Yarrowia lipolytica: one gene and its partners. The protein of the gene in region 3 interacts with the protein of the main gene of each other region in a pairwise test. Links are inferred from orthologs where the notes say so. Each region holds a gene or a part of one and is shown on either strand. Other genes may lie near its edges. The genes, in order: YALI1_B07094g, YALI1_B22820g, YALI1_F06797g and YALI1_C30514g.

What was found.
Region 1: the proteins of YALI1_F06797g (region 3) and YALI1_B07094g interact in a two-hybrid assay, tested with the Saccharomyces cerevisiae proteins (2 studies listed by BioGRID, with this or other methods). The link is inferred for Yarrowia lipolytica from reciprocal best matches to the Saccharomyces cerevisiae genes ERG28 and ERG11.
Region 2: the proteins of YALI1_F06797g (region 3) and YALI1_B22820g interact in binary tests that used the Saccharomyces cerevisiae proteins (3 or more experiments, as listed by UniProt). The link is inferred for Yarrowia lipolytica from reciprocal best matches to the Saccharomyces cerevisiae genes ERG28 and ERG27.
Region 4: the proteins of YALI1_F06797g (region 3) and YALI1_C30514g interact in binary tests that used the Saccharomyces cerevisiae proteins (3 or more experiments, as listed by UniProt). The link is inferred for Yarrowia lipolytica from reciprocal best matches to the Saccharomyces cerevisiae genes ERG28 and ERG26.

What each region holds. Positions count from the first base shown.
Region 1 is NC_090771.1:706,755-712,639, reverse strand, and holds YALI1_B07094g (uncharacterized protein), read right to left. Parts: upstream 3,195-5,885; coding exon 1,623-3,194; downstream 1-1,622. Other genes in the region: YALI1_B07134g (uncharacterized protein), read left to right, coding at 1-1,490; YALI1_B07076g (uncharacterized protein), read left to right, coding at 4,962-5,885. UniProt on the Saccharomyces cerevisiae protein: Sterol 14alpha-demethylase that plays a critical role in the third module of ergosterol biosynthesis pathway, being ergosterol the major sterol component in fungal membranes that participates in a variety of functions.
Region 2 is NC_090771.1:2,279,493-2,285,167, reverse strand, and holds YALI1_B22820g (uncharacterized protein), read left to right. Parts: upstream 1-3,096; coding exon 3,097-4,128; downstream 4,129-5,675. Other genes in the region: YALI1_B22853g (uncharacterized protein), read left to right, coding at 1-2,409; YALI1_B22793g (uncharacterized protein), read left to right, coding at 5,623-5,643. UniProt on the Saccharomyces cerevisiae protein: 3-keto-steroid reductase; part of the third module of ergosterol biosynthesis pathway that includes the late steps of the pathway. ERG27 is a catalytic component of the C-4 demethylation complex that catalyze the reduction of the keto group on the C-3.
Region 3 is NC_090775.1:677,266-682,143, forward strand, and holds YALI1_F06797g (uncharacterized protein), read left to right. Parts: upstream 1-2,520; coding exon 2,521-2,922; downstream 2,923-4,878. Other genes in the region: YALI1_F06787g (uncharacterized protein), read right to left, coding at 1-1,474; YALI1_F06830g (uncharacterized protein), read right to left, coding at 4,582-4,878. UniProt on the Saccharomyces cerevisiae protein: Part of the third module of ergosterol biosynthesis pathway that includes the late steps of the pathway.
Region 4 is NC_090772.1:3,048,691-3,054,116, reverse strand, and holds YALI1_C30514g (uncharacterized protein), read left to right. Parts: upstream 1-2,662; coding exon 2,663-3,742; downstream 3,743-5,426. Other genes in the region: YALI1_C30524g (uncharacterized protein), read right to left, coding at 693-1,691; YALI1_C30474g (uncharacterized protein), read right to left, coding at 3,900-5,426. UniProt on the Saccharomyces cerevisiae protein: Sterol-4-alpha-carboxylate 3-dehydrogenase; part of the third module of ergosterol biosynthesis pathway that includes the late steps of the pathway.

The DNA of each region.
Region 1 (5,885 bases), on a different chromosome or scaffold from region 3:
AGGGTGGCCAATCGTTTGCGGACCTGTTTCCTGAACGTGTTGAGGTGGAGGGCAGTGACAAGCACGAAAAGTTCATTCCCACTGAACGAAACTCAGTACCGACAAGAGCATCTACGCCAACTCCTGGAGACAGAAGTGGAAACGAAGGTAGATCATCTTCCAAAGACGCACCTCGGGATTTGGTACTTTCGAAAGTCCAGAGTCAGCACACAGGTTCAAGTGGAGACAGGGAGAGGGGAAACAGTGTCGGTGACCGAGGAGAAAAGACACCCCGAGATCACAACGGTAGCATTAGTGGTCAGAGCTCCCACACAACTACGGGACCTGCCGCGCATGCCACTCCTGAGCCCTCCGATACTCCCTTCTGGCTGGATGTGCTCAACCCCACTGAGGAAGAGATGAAGGTCTTGTCGAAGGCATTCGGTATCCATCCACTCACAACCGAGGATATTTTCTTGGGTGAAACTCGCGAGAAGGTGGAGCTCTTCAGAAACTACTATCTCATTTGTTTCCGATCGTTTGATGTTTTGCGAACTAAGAAGAAAGGTAGCAGCATCTCATCGAAGGCGTCGAAGAAACGGGCCCACAAGCACAATCGACAGCTCAAACCTCTGAATATGTATATCATCGTGTTCCACTTTGGTGTGCTGACGTTCCATTTTCTGCCTACAGTTCATCCCGTTAATGTGCGTCGACGTGCACGGCTCCTGCGTGATTACCTCACTGTTTCCTCAGACTGGATTTCGTATGCCATTATCGATGACATCACGGATGCCTTCCAGCCCATGATCGATTCGATCCAGGAAGAAGTGGATGATATTGAAAACGATATTCTCAAACTCCATGCAGGTGCGGATTCTTCCGATGATGAGGAGACTGAATTCTACACCTACGAAGATGAGCTTGACAGGCGACAGAGGCGTGGGTTCGGTGGTATCGCCGACGACTTGCGTTCTCTCTCTTCCATGTCATCCACGACCACAACCTCTACCATTCGACTGAAAAATAAGGGTGATAATCTGTACCGAATTGGAGAGACCCGAAAGAAGGTCATGTCCTTGTCTCGGCTTCTTGGAAACAAAGCTGATGTGATCAAGGGCTTCGCGAAGCGGTGCAATGAGCAATGGCAGGTTGCACCCCGAAGTGAAATCGGCCTTTATCTGGGCGATATTCAGGACCATATCGTGACTATGGTTCAGTCTGTCAACCATTTCGAAAAGATTCTTGCTCGAGCGCATTCCAACTGTCTGGCCCAAGTCAATATCGATATGACGAAGATCAACAACGATACAAACGATGTACTGGGTAAGATTACTGTCCTCGGTACTATTGTGCTTCCGATGAACATTGTCACCGGTCTATGGGGTATGAACGTCATTGTTCCTGGACAAGAACATAAAGGCACCGTTTGGTTCTGGGGAATCACGGCATCGCTGTTTTTCTTTGCTATCGCCTCCTACTGGGGGGCCAAGAGAGTTTATGGGGTCTAAACTAACAAAAGCCGAATATAGAAAGGAGAAGACGGGGGTTTGTTTTATAGTCAATGTCAAAATTAATGTAACTGCAGGTTCAATTACTCGTTTATTATTAATATAGTCCGAAGGTATTATTTTACATATAATCTAGTTACGCTCTCGCTTGCTCCACACAATATAGGAGGGATGGACAGGAAGCGTGATCATGGAAGTGGTGTCAACAGCAGGAAGCTTTGAGCCCTCAGGGACGGTCCACTTGAAGTTTTGAATGTAGCAAGACATGAGGGTGGTGAGCTGGCAGTTGGCGAACTGCTCGCCAATGCATCGGTGTCGGCCACCTCCAAAGGGAAGGTAAGGGGAGGAGACACCCTTGGAGATGGCACCAAATCCGTAATCGACAGTCTCGCCGGCCTCAGCGTCGGTCTCGGACTCGGCCATCTTCTCTGTAGGAGTCATCCATCGACGAGGATCGAACTTCTTGGCATTGGGGAAGTATCGCTCGGCCTGCTGTGAGTAACCAGGGGAGGCCATGACAAAGTGGCCCTTGGGCACGACAAACGAGGTACCGGGGACAGGCAGATCTCGCATGACCTGTCGGAAGATAGAATGGATGGGCATATGCAGACGAAGCGTCTCCTTGATGGTATTCTGCAGCTTGGTCATAGTCAGAATGTCCTCGTATGTAGGCTGTCGGAATGATCCGTCAGCCTCACCAAGAATATCAACTTGCTCCTGGTAGAGTTCATCCTGGATAGCAGGGTCGAGACCAAGTCGGAGAAGCATCCAAGCAGAAGTTGAAGCAGAGGTATGCTGACCGCCCATTAGAACGCCGATAAGGAGGTGGGCAATTTCCTGGGGAGTCATTCGCTTACCATCCTTGTAAGTATGGTTTTTGAGCAGAGCGTCGATGAGGTCACGGTCCTGGACGTCCTTCTCCATTCGTCGTCTTTGAATGACAGACATGTATGTATCACGAATCTTTTGCTGGGCGAGGTCACGCTTTCGATAAGAGGGCAGAGGAAGGTTGGGGAAAACGAAATTAATAGGAGTGAAGCCGTTATCAAGATCGGAGTAAAGCTTGGCAAAGTCACCGTTAAGCTTGGATCGGATCTCGTCACCTAGCAGACACCGAGAGGCAGTGAAGATGGTCATCTGAGGCTGAGTGGTCATGACATCTGCCTTACCGGTCTTACCCTCAAAGTTAACTGCAAAAAAGTTGGTGACTTCCTCAACGATCTTGGGAACGTAGGATCGAAAGGCATCACGAGTGAGGGCACCCTTGCAAAACTTCTTCTGCTCCATAAGTCGAGAGTTGGGGCAGTCATAAATAACACCGGTGCCGAAAACAGGGGTGGTGAGGTGAGTGTAAGCCTCCTCCGCAGACACGTCTGCAAGCTTGGAGTTGAAGACAAACTCGTGGCCCTTAGTGCCCAGAGACACGGTCATGACACGACCAAGCATGTAGAAGGAAAACACGTCACCATAACGGTTTCGGCAGTCCTCGAAGAACTCGTAGGGATCGATACCATAGGGGATAGATGATCCAACCCAGGGGATCCAGTAGAAGGCCATAGGGGCCAGAGTCTTGTTTCGTCGAGCCAGAAGTTGTGACCCAATAACGTAGATCTCTGTGATGACAGCAAGGATGGCCAGGCCAGCAAGAATGTGCCAGCCTTCCACGGGAATTCCCATGTTGTTGAGCGTCGTGAGAATGATCATGTTGTGGTGGACTTGAGTGAGAGACCAGTTGTAGATGTTGAGAGCACCAGACAAGATGAAGTAGAAATGGAAGGATAAATTAAACTCTTCTGGAACCTCGTCCACAATCACGAAACCTTATTTTCTTCCAAACCTGCTCGCTAATGTCGTATGTATCGTGTCTAAATGTAACGGTCCAATTACATGGACGATAATGCCAGGGATAGGGGTAATAAGAAATAAAAGTAACGGGCTCGGAAAATATGTACTTGGACCACTGTGAGAATCCTGAGGATGCAGCAGTCCTGATCCAGTGGATTTTGTTATTTTATATAGGCCGATGGCTGGCTCGGGGTATCCTTCATGGATCCCCCTGCTATGATTATGCAAGGTATGACACCACCTTTCAAATGGAGAAATCATCACGTCATGGAATGTGTGTAAGGGGCCAAAGTTAGCTTCTGTACCAAGAGAGATGCAGTGGTACTATATCATGTCCACTCATCGTACCACAATAAGACAGTACAGTAATCACTGCCTGTGCACAGCCTGCAATTTAGCCTAACATGCAAAAACGATGGTGCTTGTCATACGCGGCTATGCTGGAAATTTGATATCGCACGAAGACACCACGTGGTACACGATAGCTACAACTACAAGTAGTCTTGATTTAAGAATGAGCTCGCCAACCCTTACGGGTGTACTTGCACTTGTACTTGTAGAAACAATGGTTGTAGACTTCTGATGTTATTGCGTATGTAAACTTTTTTTTCTGCATATACATTCATTTAATTATAACTTTGCTGTGAAAGAATAACCTTTGAAATGAATGTACGCTTACACGAATATTACTAATAAAACAAACACAAGGTTACTTGGGATGGAAATGCTCGCTTAGTAAATCCACAATGAACTGTATCGAGCTTGCTAACTACTGACGCGTACAAGTATCGCAACAAAGATTACGGAGACACTCCGATTATCCGATCCGAGATTTGCCAGTGCATATGATTACTAATAAAGATGATTTTTAAGGCGTACTGATCTACAAGTACAGTATGTACTTGTAGTAACTTGTTTGATTCGTCGAAGTTAAGATTTAGTACCTCTCTGTACATCTTTTAGTATCTCTATAGTATATCATACTTACCTTCCCTCCTCATTAATAAAGCCACTTATGGGATTAATTCACTTTCTACTTGTGGGTTAGTTACAATTTCAGTCGTCTTCTTCGGCACTCTACAAGTAGTACTATTGCGGCAATTAAATCTCCTAAATGCTGTACCATACTACTTGTAGACTTCAAACATCGATCAGCTGAATTGCTTACATGTACAAGTAGCTACTGTACACGGTACTTGTAACATGTTCGCAGGTGTTGTTTCCAAACACACTACAGTATCATTGACACAAGTTAAGATTCTGTTTTGGTATTAAGTCGGTGTAGTGAGCAACCTTTACTTTTCAGGGTCAACGCTCTCATGACAGATTGCCCTAACCCTTGAGAGCTTGGTTGCCATTCCATAATCTAATCCCAGTGACCTTTATTGAGACCATGGCCTATTATAAAGATGGAAAGTGTCCAGGAAGAGAATATTTGAAGCTTCGGAAGATGATGACAGACCAGGGTATTTGAAATTACCGTATCAGGATGTTGGGTCAAACCTAACCGCTGTTTCCCGATTTAACACTCCCTAATTAGGGTCTCTCTACCCACCACCCCACATCTGATACATATGGCACTTGCATAATCTAATTGTGCCACTTACACTACACTCGCCACTCACCATGAAACTCTCAACAATCGCTATTTCTGCCATTCTGGGCTCTGTGGCCCTCGCAGCTCCTGCTCAGGAGGAGCTTCGGTCTACTGCTATGCTGATTCAGCAGTCCGAGGAGTTTCAGCGTCTCAACTATGACGAAGGCCTTCTTTCCCTGCCCGACCGAGATGAATTGCGACTTGTGGAGACCGCCCCAGGTGTCAGAACCTGGATGACCGAGGCTGAGAAGCTGGTTCTCAAGCGACAGGGTGTCCGGTTCTTTGATGTGACTGGAGAGGACCAGATTCGAGCATCCGAAGAAGTTCCCCCCGTTAACGTTACCTTCCCCGACTCTCCCCAGTACAAGGACAAGGTTGCTCTTCTGCTTGACGAAATCAACACAGATAACATGCGCAGCAACCTTGCCGAGTTCACTGACTTCTTTACCCGATACTACAAGTCGCAGACCGGGCGTGAGTCCGCCAAGTGGCTGTACAAGCAGGTTAACCAGCTGGCTCACGGATACAAGGGTGGCAACAAGAAGCCCACTGTGGAGTACTTTGCGCATCCTTGGGGCCAGCCTAGTATTATTGCACGACTAAAGGGCTCTAAAAACCCTGATACTATTGTTGTCGTGGGTGCGCATCAGGACTCTACCAATCTCATTGCTCCTTCTTTGTTTGCTGCGCCCGGTGCAGATGACGACGGATCTGGAACTGTTACCATTCTCGAGTCTTTCCGAGTTCTCATGGAGTCCGGTTTTGAGCCCGAGAACACAGTCGAGTTCCACTGGTACTCTGCCGAGGAGGGCGGCCTACTCGGCTCTCAGGAGGTCTACAAGCAGTACTTCACCGAGACCAAGGATGTGCGAGCCATGCTCCAACAGGACATGACAGGTTACGCCCAGGGAATGACTGATGCAGGTGTCGACGAACACATTGGTGTTATCACC
Region 2 (5,675 bases), on a different chromosome or scaffold from region 3:
ATTGGTAGCAAGCGGGAGGTGGAGCAGTACCTCAAGTACTTCACCTCCGTCAACCAGCAGCAGTTTGCCGTCATCAAGGTTGGCGGCGCTATCATTACTCAGCAGCTCCAGGAGCTGGCTTCTTGTCTGGCCTTCCTCTACCATGTGGGTCTCTACCCCATTGTGCTGCACGGAACCGGCCCCCAGATCAACGAGATTCTGGAGCAGGAGGGCGTGGAGCCTGATTACATTGATGGCATTCGAATCACAGACCCCAAGACTATGTCTGTGGTCCGACGATGTTTCCTGGAGCAGAACCTCAAGCTGGTGGAGGCTCTGGAGTCCATGGGAGTGAAGGCCCGTCCCATCACCGGAGGCGTCTTCCAGGCCGAATACCTCGATAAGGATAAGTGGCAGCTGGTTGGAAAGATCACCCGAGTCGACAAGACCCCCATTGAGTCTTCTATCAAGGCCGGAGCTCTTCCCATTCTCACTTCTCTTGCCGAGACTGCTGACGGCCAGATTCTCAACGTCAACGCTGACGTTGCTGCCGGCGAGCTCTCCCGAGTGATTGAGCCTCTCAAGATTGTCTACCTCAACGAGAAGGGCGGTCTCCACAACGGTACTACCGGCGAGAAGATCTCCATCATCAACCTTGACGAGGAGTACGAGGACCTTCTCAAGGAGCCCTGGGTCAAGTACGGCACCAAGCTCAAGATCAAGGAAATCAAGGAGCTGCTGGACTTCCTTCCCCGATCTTCCTCCGTCGCTATCATTTCCGTCGAGTCTCTGCAGAAGGAGCTCTTCACCGACTCTGGAGCCGGAACCCTGATCCGACGAGGTTATAAGCTTGTCACCCGAGACAACCTTAACCAGTTTGCCTCGACTGATGCCCTTCGAGCCGCTCTGTCTCGAGACAAGGATATTGCTTCCAACAAGGTCTCTGTTGCTTCTTACTTGCGAGAGCTTGAGACATCTCCCTTCAAGGCCTACGGAGATGAGCCTTTGGAGGTGCTTGCCATTGTCCGAGAGTCCCCCCACGGAGCTTATCTCGATAAGCTCCTGGCCTCCAAGAACGGCTGGCTCAACTCGGTCACCGATAATGTGTGGACCGCCATCAAGAAGGACCACAACAAGATGTGGTGGACTGTCCCCGAGGAGGACGAAAACACCTCGTGGCATTTTGACAAGGCCGACGGATCATTTGCCAAGAACGGCCAGGTCCTGTTCTGGTACGGATTTGAGGCCGACGAGGTGTCCAAGCTCATTGCCTCGTTTGTTGCTAACGCCAAGGCCGAGGCCTTCACTGGTGTGCGATCCATGCACACCGGCACCGGCCTTGGTAACGGTCGAAAGACAGGTGCCCCCGGTGTCGGTCGATACTTCCGACCCACTATCCATTCGTCTCTGACCCCTAAGACCCGACACTTCACCACCAACCCCAACCCCCCTATTGAGAAGGGCACCAACACCAAGCCAGCCAAGGTTGCTCTGATTGGTGCTCGAGGATACACCGGCAAGGCCCTCATTGATCTGATCGACAACCACCCTCATCTCGAGCTGTCTCACATTTCTTCTCGAGAGCTCGACGGTAAGCCCCTCGAGGGTTACAAGAAGGCCCAGATGAAGTACTGCAACCTGCAGGTTGAGGATATCGTTCGTCTGGAGGAGAAGGGTGCAGTTGACGTCTGGGTCATGGCTCTGCCCAACGGAGTCTGCAAGCCTTTTGTCGACGCCATTGAGGGAGTCCGAAACAAGTCTATCATGATCGACCTGTCTGCTGATTACCGATTTGACACTACCGGTGATTGGACCTACGGTCTGCCTGAGCTGGTTGATCGACAGGCCATTGTCAACGCCAAGAAGATCTCTAACCCCGGATGCTACGCTACTGGTTCCCAGCTGGCCATCGCTCCTCTTCTACCTTACCTTGGTGGCCAGCCCACCATCTTTGGTGTTTCTGGCTACTCTGGAGCCGGCACCAAGCCTTCTCCTCGAAACGACATTGACAACCTGCGAGATAACCTGATCCCCTACTCTCTGACTGACCACATTCATGAACGAGAGGTGTCTTCGCAGCTCGGCACTCCCGTTGCCTTTGTCCCCCACGTTGCCTCATGGTTCCAAGGCATCTCCCTCACTGTTTCCATCCCCCTGGCTAAGCCTCTGACCTCTCGAGATATTCGAAACATTTACCAGGATCGATACGCCGGCGAGAAGCTGGTTCAGGTGACCGGTGAGGCCCCCGAGGTGCGACACATTTCTGAGAAGCACCACGTCTCTATCGGAGGCTTTGGCGTTTCTTCTAAGGAGGACCGAGTGGTTGTTGTCGGCAACATTGACAACCTGCTCAAGGGAGCCGCCACCCAGTGTCTGCAGAACATTAACCTGGCCATGGGTTACGGCGAGTATGATGGTATTCCTTTGTAGACACGGACTGCAGAGCCCTAAGCATATAAGAAAAGATGATTGAAACCAGCAAGTTGAGTTAAACATGTGTAGACATGCCTTCGTGAGATATATTTGTGATATCCAGAAACTGATACAATGGCTGTTGATATCTATAGAGTGTTAAGTTTTGTTTTTGTTTTTGTTTTTATAGCTACATATATATATCAGCGGTAGGGCTTGCAGTTTGCCTTAGTCAAGTAGAATACTCTCGTCCTTCTCTCTTGGTGAAGCTTCATCACACTCCTTAGTCCAATATGGGCGATTATATATTAACAAGGTGCTCCTCATTCATACCAACAACTTATGACTTCAATTCTTTACATACTGTAATCTTCAACTCCCGGCTTCATCTATTATCACTCGCACTGGTCGCATTGTTCGTATGCATCGTACACTATAGTGTAACTCTAACCAGATGTCTGCAGATGTAAGCGATCGTCAACAGGGCGATATTCGGGGTGTTGAGCCCTAGTTGACAGATATATTTTCTTGTAGTTGTAATCATAACGAGATTTTGGTGAAAAATACGTTTTCAGCATTAAATTCTGACCGGTTCTTGTTCAGTAATCACTCTCCAATGTATTCCCATAGATCCCCTGCATGCATTGTCAAGACTGACGATATCAACCGACTTTCCTGTGCACAACACGACGTAACTTACAAGCCATGATCCACAACAGAAAAACGCAGACGGTTGTGATCACAGGCGCGTCATCCAACCTTGGCATTGCTATTGGTAAGCGTCTGATCGACGAGAAAAAAGAAGACGCCCATCTCACTATTGTGGTCACTTCGCGAACCCTTCGAAACGTCCGTGTCGCCATCAAGACCCTCAAGGCACATGCCGTAGCCAAGGAGGTCGGTCCCGAGGTCGACTTTGACTACCTTCTGTTTGATCTGGCAGACATGACGTCTATCAACGGCGCTCTGGTGGAGCTCAAGCTGCGGTTCTCTCGAATCGACACTCTCATCTTCAACTCCAACGCAGCCAACTACATTGGAATCAACTGGCCTCTGGCCATGTGGCGATTCACCACGCAATTCAAGAGCGAAATCGAGAATCCCAGTTGCATGATCCAGGCTGTGGGAGTCAAGTCCGACGACGGTATGGGCTCTGCGTACCAATCCAACGTGTTTGGACCATGGTACATGGTGCTGGAGCTCACCGAGCAGCTCAAGAACGGCGGAAAGGTCATCTGGATCAGTTCCATCACGTCTTCTGAAAAGTACGTGGATCTGGAAGACATTGAGCTGATTCACAACAAGGAGCCATACAAGGGCTCGAAGCGTCTTATTGACGTGGCCCACAACTACTACTCGCCGAAACTGGAAGAGGAGCATGGTATCTACTCGTACCTGACCGACCCCGGTATCTTCACCTCCTCCTCGGCCTCCGAGTACCTCAACATCTTCTCTGCCTTCGGCATGTATCTCATGTTCTACTTTGCCCGGCTCATTGGACTGACCACCATGAACATTGACCCTTATAAGGGAGCCAACGTGCCTGTGTGGGTGACCTTGAGCGAGGACCCTTCAGCTCTTAAGCGAGAGTATCGTTTGGGCTCGAGAACAGGAAGATGGGGTACGGAGATGATGGACGCTACAAAGCTGCAATATGAGGGAAGCGAAGAAGTCGGAGCATACATTGATAAGGGTGTGGGAGAGTGGAGAGAGAAGTTGAAGGATCAGATTAACTAAGCCAATTGAATGGAGTAAAAGTTGATGAGGCAGTGGAGCTAGCTTAATAGACTGCTGGTTGGAGACTGTCAGCTGCCTTAATCTGAGCATGACTTGCTTCGAGACAGTGAAGGTGTCGAAGCTTGAGAGAGTATCCCAGTGTAGCCATCGCTTACATTTCAGTCTATACAAAACTTGGTAACACCGAAATTAACACATTGGACAATGGACAATGATGACAACTGTCATACAAGTGGAAGCTACGCGTGATTAGGTATTTCCACAGTGAATTGTTTTTAGAGGTCATGACTACTCTGCAAGTATCATACTGTCCTTTACTTCAAGTAGAACAAGGTGGCTACAGTCCTTTAACTCAGCAATTGGCCACTGTACATACTTAACAGGTGGCCATCTATGACTACAGTACGACAGCCATACCAGTCTCGTCATCTGCGGACTTGCCAGTGTCAGTGAAACTTGTGTATTGACATATCGTTGCGCACCATACAGTAATTGAACATATATGTGTATCTTGTCAGTATACAACCAGTCAGGCCCATCTCTCATTCGCACCTACACATCTGTAAACCACACTCACGTGACCATCTTACCTCAATCAATATATTTTGCCAAACCCACCCTCCACCTGATGACCCTGCCATCAGTGTTGCACTATAGTACATATAAGCGATCTTTCTTGTGGCTGCTCGTATAACCTCATTTATATACGTCATGTCGCATTCGCGTCAGACGTTCTATTGTGCCCATTGACAATTGCCTAGGAAAATAAGACATACTGAAGGCAATCTCGATACTCTATCTGCATACTCGATCGACTTTGGTTTCAATACTACCTACTTTTGAGCGCCCCACCGCCTTGCCACTCCGGCTAAATGGCGGATACAAGTAACTCCATCCGGATATAAGGTTTTGGCGATATATAGGAAAATCTCCTTCGAAAAACAATATTTCGCTGTTTCAAACCAGCTGAGATTTTGTTCACTGCCTCCCACTGATACAATTCTCTGCTATCTCTGTCTTAATCGTCTAGCTCTTAATCTGAGGGGTATTACCTTTAACAAAAGTTGCCCCGCTCAATCTTCTGACCCTAAAAGCCAGAATGTTGCGAATCAAAATCAAAATCAAAATTATGAGAGGGGCCACTAAGAAAATGATTTGTCGTGTACTTGTAGAGACTCGGTTGTCACGTCACCAGTATGAATAGGTCACATGACACGCTTACTCCACAGCAGATTTCTAAAAATAAATCCGCCACCGCAACTGGTGCACAGCCCTCTACACTGCCTCCGCCCCATATGACCACCTACATTGTTCTATTCCCTGGCCGGGTAACCCCCAACCAGCCCCCAAATTAGCCTTTGCCACTTCACTAGAGTTGATGCAGTTGCATATGCCCACTGTGGTATCTCCGAAACCAGAGACGTTCTTATACTACAGTTTAATACCTGGTACATCGGTACGAGTTATTGTGCGCAAAAAGAACATCTTTGCAACATGAACGCCATCAAGTTACAGGTGAGTACACGACGGATCCTATACCCATTGAC
Region 3 (4,878 bases):
TCAGATCCTCGTATCCAGGCGTATTCTGGACCATGATGATGGCCTTGAGAGCCTCGGCAGTACAGTCGGAGACCGGATACCCCTGGGTCTTGGTACTAAAGGGCCATCCTCCGACGCGGTCGTCTCGATAGGAATTTTCCTCCGTCGGCTCGTTGATCTGGGACCGATCGAGAAAATCAAACGCCGCTCGGATCGTCTTCTGGTACTGGGGAAGTTCGGCAAAGCCACAAACACACGCGTATTGCACGGCAAACGCAGTATCCCAGACCTGGAGACCGTTGGTGCCGTTCATAAACATTCCCGACGGATTCAGAGACAGAAATTCGGGCCATCGGGCCGCAATCTTTTTGTAATTCGCCGAATCGGGCCCCTCATGGAGATACATGACAATGGAGGTCATGGCATTGTTGACGGGAGCGAGACACAAGTGTCGTGTGTTGGAAACCTCTCGAAGGCACAAGTTGTAAATTTCCTCCTTGACCTTTTCTTTGATCCACTGCGGTCTGAACTTGCGGTATCGTCGGAGAAGCGCGTTGCCAAACTTCAAAAGGCCGGTGTGGGGATAGTAGAGGTCGACTCCGGAGATGGAGTTGCAATGTTTGGAGAAATCAATCTCCGAGTAGGGCTTTTTGTAGATTTCGTCTCGGAGCTCCTCCAGCAACGGAGTGAGTTCGCATTGGGCCTCCGCAGCCTCCAGATAGCCCATGGCAAGGTAGATCCACCGGGTATGGACCCACCATCGGCCCGGATGAACAGGAACAAAGTAGGGCAACAGCCAGAGCTCGCCAGGGGCCGGATTCACACCCTCCCATTTGTAGAGATTGAGAATCGACAGCCAGGTCTTGCCCCAATGGGGGTTGTTGATGGCGCCGCCAAACTTGGTGAGCAGCGTTTTGCGCGCCTTGACGCAGACCGGATGGTCCCGTGACAGGCCCAGTAGTCGCAGGACCACGTAGTTGATGCTGGTACCGAAGCAGGTGCTCTTGTCTTCTTTGTGAAGGCCCCAGCCTCCGTCAACTGGGTGGGCTGTGTTGACAATGTATCTGATCATTTCGGTTTTGACCGGCGTGGGGATCTCGTTGCCGCCAAAGTAGCACGCCGTCACATAGCCGATGCTCATGAACTGCGGTCCGTCGTATTCGCTCTGCCACGCGCCGGAGTCGGGGTCTTGCAGCGACGCAAACAGATGCCAGTTTTTGAGAGCCGCTTCGTAGGCATTTTTCACGGGCTTGGAGTCCAGAGTCACGGGCGCGTATCCCGGCAGCTCCAGCGAGTATTTGACGTAGTCGGTAGCCCTCTTTTCCAGCTCTTCCAGCGGTGTGGTATCGTCATACTTCCACCATTGCGCCCCCAGATCGGACGCGTGGAACGTCCATCGTCGCAGATCCGTCTTAGGTAAGCCGTATCGGTCGCTGCGGTACTTGGAATGTCCGTTTTTCGCAAACTGTTTCGACACACTTTCGTGGATTCCCATGGCGGAGTGAAGTGGTGAAGTGGTGAAGTGGTGGAGTGGTGCTATATACTGGGCAACTAAGCTAATTCACATGAACATTTGAAGTGTGGATAAAAAGACGAATAATGACACCAGAAAGAATCCGAGTAGTGCATTAGATTCATAACAAAAATACGAGTAAAAAGATATAAAATACTCCCTTAATCGTCCTCTTATTCCTGAAATGACAGACTCTCTACTCCTCGCTCATATCGCATCAAATACGAGACATGCGACAACTAAGACAGGGTGCGACTTGTCGCTAGTTTAAGTTTCGAAGAGGTGATTTGGTACAAAGATGAATGTGGATTATTGGAGTAAGTACCGAAAAATGGAGCCGGAAGTCAGGGGAGTCCACAGGTATAGTTGGTTCATCAATGAGATCGCTATAGGGTCTGTTTGGTAGACATTTAGGAGCCTAATCAGTTGACATTGACTCAAGTAAATGATAGAGTTTGTCAAGTAGTTACTGGAGAGGAGCGTTACTATTTAAATAAATTTCAAAAAAATCAAAAAATCAAAAAATCAAAATATAATATTTTTAAAAAATAAAAAAAATAAAAAATATATATATAAAAAGAGTGTGTTTTATTCAAATAATGGGCTCAAAAATAATCCAAAATAGTCCAAAAAATGGCAAGATCGATTCCTGGTCTCCACCCAATCAAACCATTCAAACACCAACTAAAATCCCCTTGTACAATCCCGTCATATATTTACATATTTTCATGTCAAAATAAACTCTCGGAACGGCTCCAACCTCCACATTCCGGATTACGTAATCTTACAAAGTAAAAACTCGACCTGCAATCGACCACTAATCAACGACTAATCACCCAATTCAGCTAAAACTCGGAAAATTAACTACCAGTCACTTGACCATCTTCCTGTCCAAAAATCCGTCCGATTGTGACGATTTTGCCCTTTCTACGATCGTCCCACGTTCCCTCGCGCATATCATTCACCTCTGACAAGTACTGCTCTCGTACTCGTACTGTTCGACTCTCTAACACCCACAAAACGCCCACATGTCGCTCCTGCCCCAGATCCCTGGTCTCCTGCCCTGGTGGCAGCTCATTGTGTCCATCACAGCCACCCTCAACTCCGCCCAGGCCTACACGGGCACCCATGCGACCGCCAGAGTATACTCGAACGACACCAACAAGGAGGTGACGCGACTCCAGGCACGGACGTTTGGCACCTGGACCTTTCTGTCGGCTATCATTCGGTTCTATGGCGCCTACTATCTGACCGACAAGCACGTCTACGACCTCACTCTGGCCTCTTATCTCGTGGCGTTTGGACACTTCATGTCGGAGTTCCTCATCTTCAAGACCGTCAAGTTGAGCGGCCCCTCCATTGCTCCCATGATTGTGTCCACCACCAGTATTGTCTGGATGGTCTTGCAGAGAGATTGGTATCTTAGTTGAGAGTCTGGATATGTTGATCGAGTGCCGCTTGCGCTGTACTGAGGTCACGTTTCGGCCTGAATCATTGGTGCGAACCAGCCAGCAATGGCTCCAGTATCACTTGGACGCGGTCTCTTTGATCTACACACTCAACGCTCACCGTCTGGTCTATACACTCAACGCCACACCGTAATGAATAAAATCAGCTGTTACTTGATCGTCCGTTACTTTGTCGACCACCCATCTTCGGCAATGAAGGTCAGATTCGCAAAAAAGATGTACAATTCAACTCCCACGAGTCCCACGAGTGTACCAGATGTACTCTCATTTCTCTAGCATCAATATTGACCTAGTAGCGACGGTTCAGACCACTTCCAGCTGTGATGGATCACAGAAAAGGTGGAAACCCGTTCAATGCCGGCAGAGATGGGTACAGATGAGTACCGCTATGAAGCTAACAAGGCCGCCATTCGAACCATGTTACTCTCGTCGCTCTAGCTCCAGTACTTGGAAAGTTGTGGGAGATGCAAAAGTGGCACAAGCTACAGTCGTTGGCTTAAACAGGCACAGTTGGATTTTCCGTGTAATTACTTAAGAGTATTATTTTCTCCAAAAAAAACTCATCTAGTTACACACCTAATGACCAAAACAGTCCCGAAACGAGACACCAAACGACGCCAAACGACACCAAACGACGCCAAACGACGCCAAACGACGCCAAAAAGGTAACACCGACGTCGAATGATACCATTGGATAACGGAAAGGCCATCCGAGTGTTTTTCAGCGGACAGATCAGAGAGTCAGAGTGAAAGTAGCAGCAATAGTAACAACGACAACGACAACGACACCACTCACCCAGAGTCCTTGAACGAGAGAGACCAGCTCACGGCTTTGTGCCTGTCGCATTCAGACAAAGTCCAGAATCAATGCCGTTGGCTGGGTAGGTGCCTGAAAGCATTGGTCTGGTCCTTTGCCTGAGGATGTGGTTGTGGCCAGACCCATGCTCGAAAGCGAAGCTGGCAAAACGACAAATCCTTAGCTCTGGCTCACTCTCTTCGCATGAGAAGTCTGCGTTACCCCAAAGACATTCCTTACCCACGAAAAGATACACCAACTCTGACGAGGAAAGCTCGAAGGTCCCCTGGAAGCCTACAAATCGGTCTTGACTTATCAGGATGCGATAGGATACCCTGTCGAAGTGTCATGCTCGGTTTCACACTGACCTGGAGACGACACGCAACTAACCATGTAGCCAAGTCACCAGATTATGACCAATAAAGCCGGCAGAAAGTGATGCCATGGATGATTGATAGGGACTTGAAACTGGCCGATGAGAAATGGGACGGTGTTTGAAAGTGTTGTTGTCGATGTGACGCTGACTACTTGGACCCCAACGGAATCGGTTCCGTCTTCCACCAGCATGTACCGGTGACGAGTGCGGTTTATCTTGGATATAGCCAGTTTTACACCGTGAGCCGTCCCTACAAGTACCTTACAGTACCGTACTCCAATCAATGTATAACTTACTTATATATCCATCCAAAATACAGACCTTTATGAATCAATAGTCTGGCCAACGGAAGGACTCATCCTACACGCGACAGGCGGTCCATAACAGGTGGTCACAACAGGTAGACCGTAATAGATGGCCCACAACAGGTGCGGCTCGCACTGTCCCACTACTTTGTGGGGTCATTTTCCTTCAAATGATCCAAGACAGGACCCAGCAGTCTCTGAAATCCATCCTTACCAAGAGTAGCGACCTTGAGCTTGGTCTTGGCAGTCACGGTGGCCTGTCGAGGCAGATCGTTCAACAGAGCTACCTCTCCAAAGTAGTCACCCTGCTTAAGAGTAGCCACCACGCCAGACTCGCCCTTCTTAGTCACCTCAGCCTCTCCGCTCTCCACGAGGTAAAAGGCGTCTCCAGCCTCTCCCTCGGTGATGACGGCAGTTCCGGGCTCAACCACCTGGGACGT
Region 4 (5,426 bases), on a different chromosome or scaffold from region 3:
ATCTTATAATGCCGGCATGTTTACTGCCGTTACCCGGCCGGCACACGACCCAGGAACAAGGTTGTAAAAGACGTGTATCGCGAGTATCACGACTTCACGGAGGTTGATTTCACAATGCAGAGACGCGGAGACGGTGGCGACAGGCGCAAAGTACTGACATGGCGGGGGCGGCTCAGATGGCCATGTCTACGGTGAAAGTGCGTTTTTGTTAAGAGTTGAGTAATTACCAAGTAATGCTTATTTAGGTTAGGGTAAGGGTAGAGTCTGAGAGAGTGGTAGATGGAGGGCTGTACTGAAATGTTTTTGCCTAAACGTTGATCATTGTGGTCTTATCAAAGTGTATATTTGTGAATATGCAACTTTTGCGTATTTCTGGGTCATTTTGATCCTCTTGGAGGGACCTTGTATGGCTGTTGAGATTACTAACAATGTGTAGAGTTTGGGTTGTTTAGTTGGGATGAAATGATTCTTAAGAAAACGTACTTGGGAGCGGTTTATTTTGAATGGGGCTCTGAAATTGACGCCAACAGGCATTGGTGATTACGCCATTCCTTTCCGTTTTTCTTGAGCGCTTTCGCCTGCACAATATCCCACAATATTTGTGTTTATTTTACTCTGCTGGCCACCTTTCTTCCATGTCACCGTTCGATTGAATCTATATACCGTCAGCATCCATGGCTCCATCCATCGCGCTATCTAGTCTCACGCTTCAGCTGCTCGACTCGTCCATTCACTAGTCGCTCCTTCTTTTGAACCTCTTTCTTCACGGCCTTCTCCACCTTTGCGTCAGTCTTGTCCACCTTCACCACGTCAGGTTTGGCCGCCATAAGACCGTTGAAGACAAGTAGCGAAAGGAGGATGGCAACAACCGACCCCACAATCATCAGCAGCAGCTTGTCGTCGACCAGCTCTCCGTCTCCCGTCTGGCGCACCTCAGGAGCATGTGTGGGGGGAGTCTTGACCTTCAAGAGCGCCTCGGCAGTGAGCTTTTTCTCGTCCACAGGCACATTTTGCAGCTCCATGTGGTACTTGTACTTGTCCTTCGCTCCAGGCACAGTCTTGGCTCGAGCCACGCCTGGAAAGATTTTGAAGTCGGGGTTTCTGGTTTCAAAGTCTCCCTCCTCGCCCTTTTGCGAGGTCAAAATGAGCGCAATGAACGGCGAGGGCGTTGCTCGCACAATCTTCTCCAGCATCTCGTCATTGGCGGCCAGAGCAGCCAGTCGAGAGACATATGTGTTTGGCAGGGGCTCAAAGTTGATCTCGATTACTCGCTTGGTGGTATCCATGTACTCCTCCAGAGGAGTGATGTTGTTGTCGAGATTGACGTCGATTTTGACCGCGCCGCACTGCTTGGCCACAGAGTTGGCCAGCTTGCCCAGCTCAATGCCTCCATCAGCATAGGGCACTGTGTACATGGTGGAGGTTCGTTCCAGGAGCTTTTTGAGAAACGGAAACGCCGACTCCGTCTGGAAATCCTTGGCCTTGAGTCCCGGCTGGTTCACCACCACGTAGGTGTTGGCCGAGCAGTCGTGCATCAGTTTCCGCGCCACTCGATCCAGCTCCACTGCCGATATGCTGTTGGATGTCTGTTTGTTGGTGTATTTTTCGAAAGCCGTCAGCTCCTTGTGCGACAGCATCACCGCTGGAGTCGCCAGAGCCGTGCCTATCAGCGAGAGCAGTGCAAGTTTCATTGTCGCGAAAATGAGAGAGATGTGGAGTGGTGTAGAGTGATGACAACACAGGTCACTGTTATATGGCAGCACTGGTGCATGTTGGCAGACTGATTATCGAACTCTGTCCTGAGTTTATTTTTAGCCAGAAATCGAGACGGATATGGACGGTGAAAAGTGCGCTTTGGAGGCCACAAGGCTGCCAGTTTGTTGATGGCAGTTGATGTGACCGAAACGCAGATTCTCTACGAGCTGATTTGGTTAAAATCGAAGCAATATCCACCAAGTTGACGATACTCTATGAAGGGCAGAAACACTGAAGGTGTACCTCAGATGCAGTTCTGAAGCTGTTTCAGCCCTCGATAAACGGCGCAAAAGGAGATATTTTCTTGGTCGCGTAATTCAGTTGAGTTCTTTCCAGTCAAGTTCGTTTCACTTGAGGCAATTGACTGCTTGTACAAGTAGCTGCTCCACTTACGATGGAGGGGTCTCCCGTAGACTTTTCAGACAAGCCCATCTTGGAACGTCTCTTCTACTGGGGGTTTCTGACCTGCTAAAACAAAAGTAACAGAAGAAATAATAATACGTTGACTAGTTTAACAGCTTCCAATTTTAACCCGCAAAATCGGGGCGATATTCACCAAGTTTGAGTACACCTACTACTCTCTCCAAAGGTCAACTAATGTCCCAACTAAACATTCTTTCTTAACTAAGTTCAACTAACCCTTGCCTCCCTCCACCATAATCCTCCCCCTCCCCCCCCCCTCACACACCCCTCCTTCCCAGCTAGATGTTCAAATATATCCTTCAAAAAATATGCATAATTTGTGTCACGTGACTCTTCTAAACACACGCGCCCTAGTCTACTCCCGCTCTCTACATTCCCCAGGTTCCGCTCTTGGTCCTGAGTACTGTACATACTGTACACTGCATAAACTCAATCACCATCCCTGACACGCCCAACACACCATCTTACCACATTCGCTAACATCATGAACACGGTACTGATCGTCGGAGGTTCGGGATTTCTCGGCCAGCATCTCATCCAAAAGTTCCACGAGCTGTCTCCGCGGCCTGAAATCCACGTGTTTGACATCAGACCCGTGCAGCCCGTGTCCCAGACGTTTTTCTCCTACGATACAGAAAAGGACATTGTGTTCCACCAGGGCGATCTGACGAACCGCGACGACGTTCTGCGAGCAATCGACGCCGCCAAACCCGATGCCATTGTCACCTGCGCCTCCCCAGTCCACGGACTCGGAAAGGCCATCTACGAGAAGGTGAACGTGCAGGGAAACAAGGTGCTTCTGGAAGCTACTCGACAGCGATTCGACGAGTCCAAGGGCAAGATTGGCCGGGCCTTCATCTACACCTCCTCTGCCTCGGCTGTCTCCGACGGTTCTCCTCTCATCAACGCCGACGAAACCTTCCCCGTGCTGGACGACCACAAGGACGACTACGCCGACACCAAGGCGGTGGCCGAGAAGATGATTCTGGGCGCAAACGACCCCGAGAGCGGTTTCCTGACTGTCGCCCTGCGACCCGCTGGTATTTTCGGACCCGGTGACCGACAGATGATCCCCGGCTTCCTCGATGCTGCCGCTACCGGAAAACAAAACTTCCAGCTCGGTAACGACGACAACCTCTTCGACTACACCTACGTCGGAAACGTGGCATACTCCCACGTGCTGGCTGCCGAGAAGCTACTAGACTCCAAGCACGCCGCCAACGTGGCCGGAGAGGCCTTCTTCATCACCAACGGAACCCCCATCTACTTCTGGGCCATGCCCCGAATGATCTGGAAGAAGTCTGGCTACGAGGTCGACCTGGCCAAGCGGACCAAACTGAGCACCCCCGTGGCTCTCTTCCTGTCTTCTATCGTCGCAGGGCTCTGCAAGCCCTTTGGAGTTGTGCCCAACTTCTCGCCTTTCAAGGTCCGAATCTGCTCGTCACCAAGATACTACGACATCTCCAAGGCCCGAAAGTACCTTGGCTACGAACCCCAGCTCGATCTCCCCCAGGCCGTTGACGTCACTCTCAAGTGGATCAACGAGACCAAGGAGAAGAAGTAAACCCAGTACAACCACTACATGCTAGTACAAGTAATGACACTCACAAAAGCAGCATTGATGAAGACAATAAATAGTCACGGTAACTACTCGTTACGGTAACTACACTACAGTACACCACCCATATATCTACATACACATTCACTATAGCATAGCACCCCTAAAGACGAAGCTCATAGTTGTAAATGTACAACCCAAAAGACAATGAGCTAAGGACGAAACAAATAGTGGGGGCCAGGTCCCGGTTGAAAAGAGCTACCACAACAAGACCAAGGGTAAGAGTGGCAATCAGAGGCTTCAACCGAGGAGCATCGGACGAAAACCCAAACGCATCGCCGAAATACGAACCGTAGGGCGTCTCCCCACCAGGATACACATCCGCACTGTCAGTATCATAGCCATCAAAATCGTAAGCAGGGTTTCCATCGGGATCCTGGTTCACCATACGGGGAGCCTCGCCATTGGGATACAGTTGCTTGAGCTTTTCAGCAAGAGAAGCACCCTCAAAGTTATCAGCACCAGATCCTTCCTCAACTTCACCCTCGTAAACCCCCTCGGTCAAAGGTGCTGGGCCCTCATCGTAATACTCATCCCCGGCAGGAGGGAACTCGTGGTAGTCGGAAGTTTCAAAGTTCTCTTCGTGCTTTGGTTCATGGTTGTAGTCGGGCTCATGGTAGTCGGGCTCATGGTAGTCGGGCTCATGGTAGTCGGGCTCAGAGTCATGGTGATACTCTGGCTCGGGTTCATGAAGAGAAGGTTCCTGGTGAGGCTCGGGGATGTGGTACTCTTCGTGATACTCCAAATTGTGTTCATGATGGTGCTCGTTGACCTCATTATTAAGATTGAGGGTCCCATCGTTGATAAGAACATGCTCCTCCCCACCATGGTGGCTCTCGCTGTGCTCCTGATGGAGCTCCTGGTGATCCTCTTGATGCTCTTCGTGCTCTTCATCTCCCTCGTCGTCTCCATGGTGCAGTTCCTCATCAACTCCGAGCAGCTCCTGGCTTGCGTCACTGTGGTCCTCACGGTGCTCTCCGTTATTCTCTTCATAATGGGGTTTCTCATGGACAGGATCCTCGTAATGATACTCTTCCTCAAAAGGCCAATTACCGTCTTCACTGGGAAGAGGCTCCTCGGGCTGCCACTCGTGAATGGGTTCAGAAATGGGCCCTGAGGAAGGTTCTGGCTCATCGACAGGCTCGGGCTCATCGACAGGCTCGGTACCATCTTCTTCACCTCCAACTACAATTTTGGGCTCGTAGTAATGAGGAGGCTGGTAGATAGGGTCTTCTGGGACCACAGGCAACTCGTTGTCGCTATGGTACATGTCAGAATCGCCCTCGGTATCGGCATCAGGAGTAAGCTGAGCAGGAGGAGTAGCTTCTGGGTCGAGAACCACATCGCCGGGTACGACGGGCTCCACCTCGGTCTGAAAGCCACCGTTGGGGTCATTCACGCCTTCCGTCGGAACATCAAATATAGCGTCCTTAACATAGCCAGACGTGACATCCATGGGCTCTCCAAATGTGGATTCCAGTGGGGGTCCATCAACCCAGTGTTGGTATCCTCCCGAATGCGGTCCTGGAAGTGTTCCACTGTCCGCACCATCCGCTCCGTCCACCAGAGAATCAGAATCAGGAACTGGATACAGATTACTCCCGTTGAGAACCTCGGGAGTGTCTCCGCT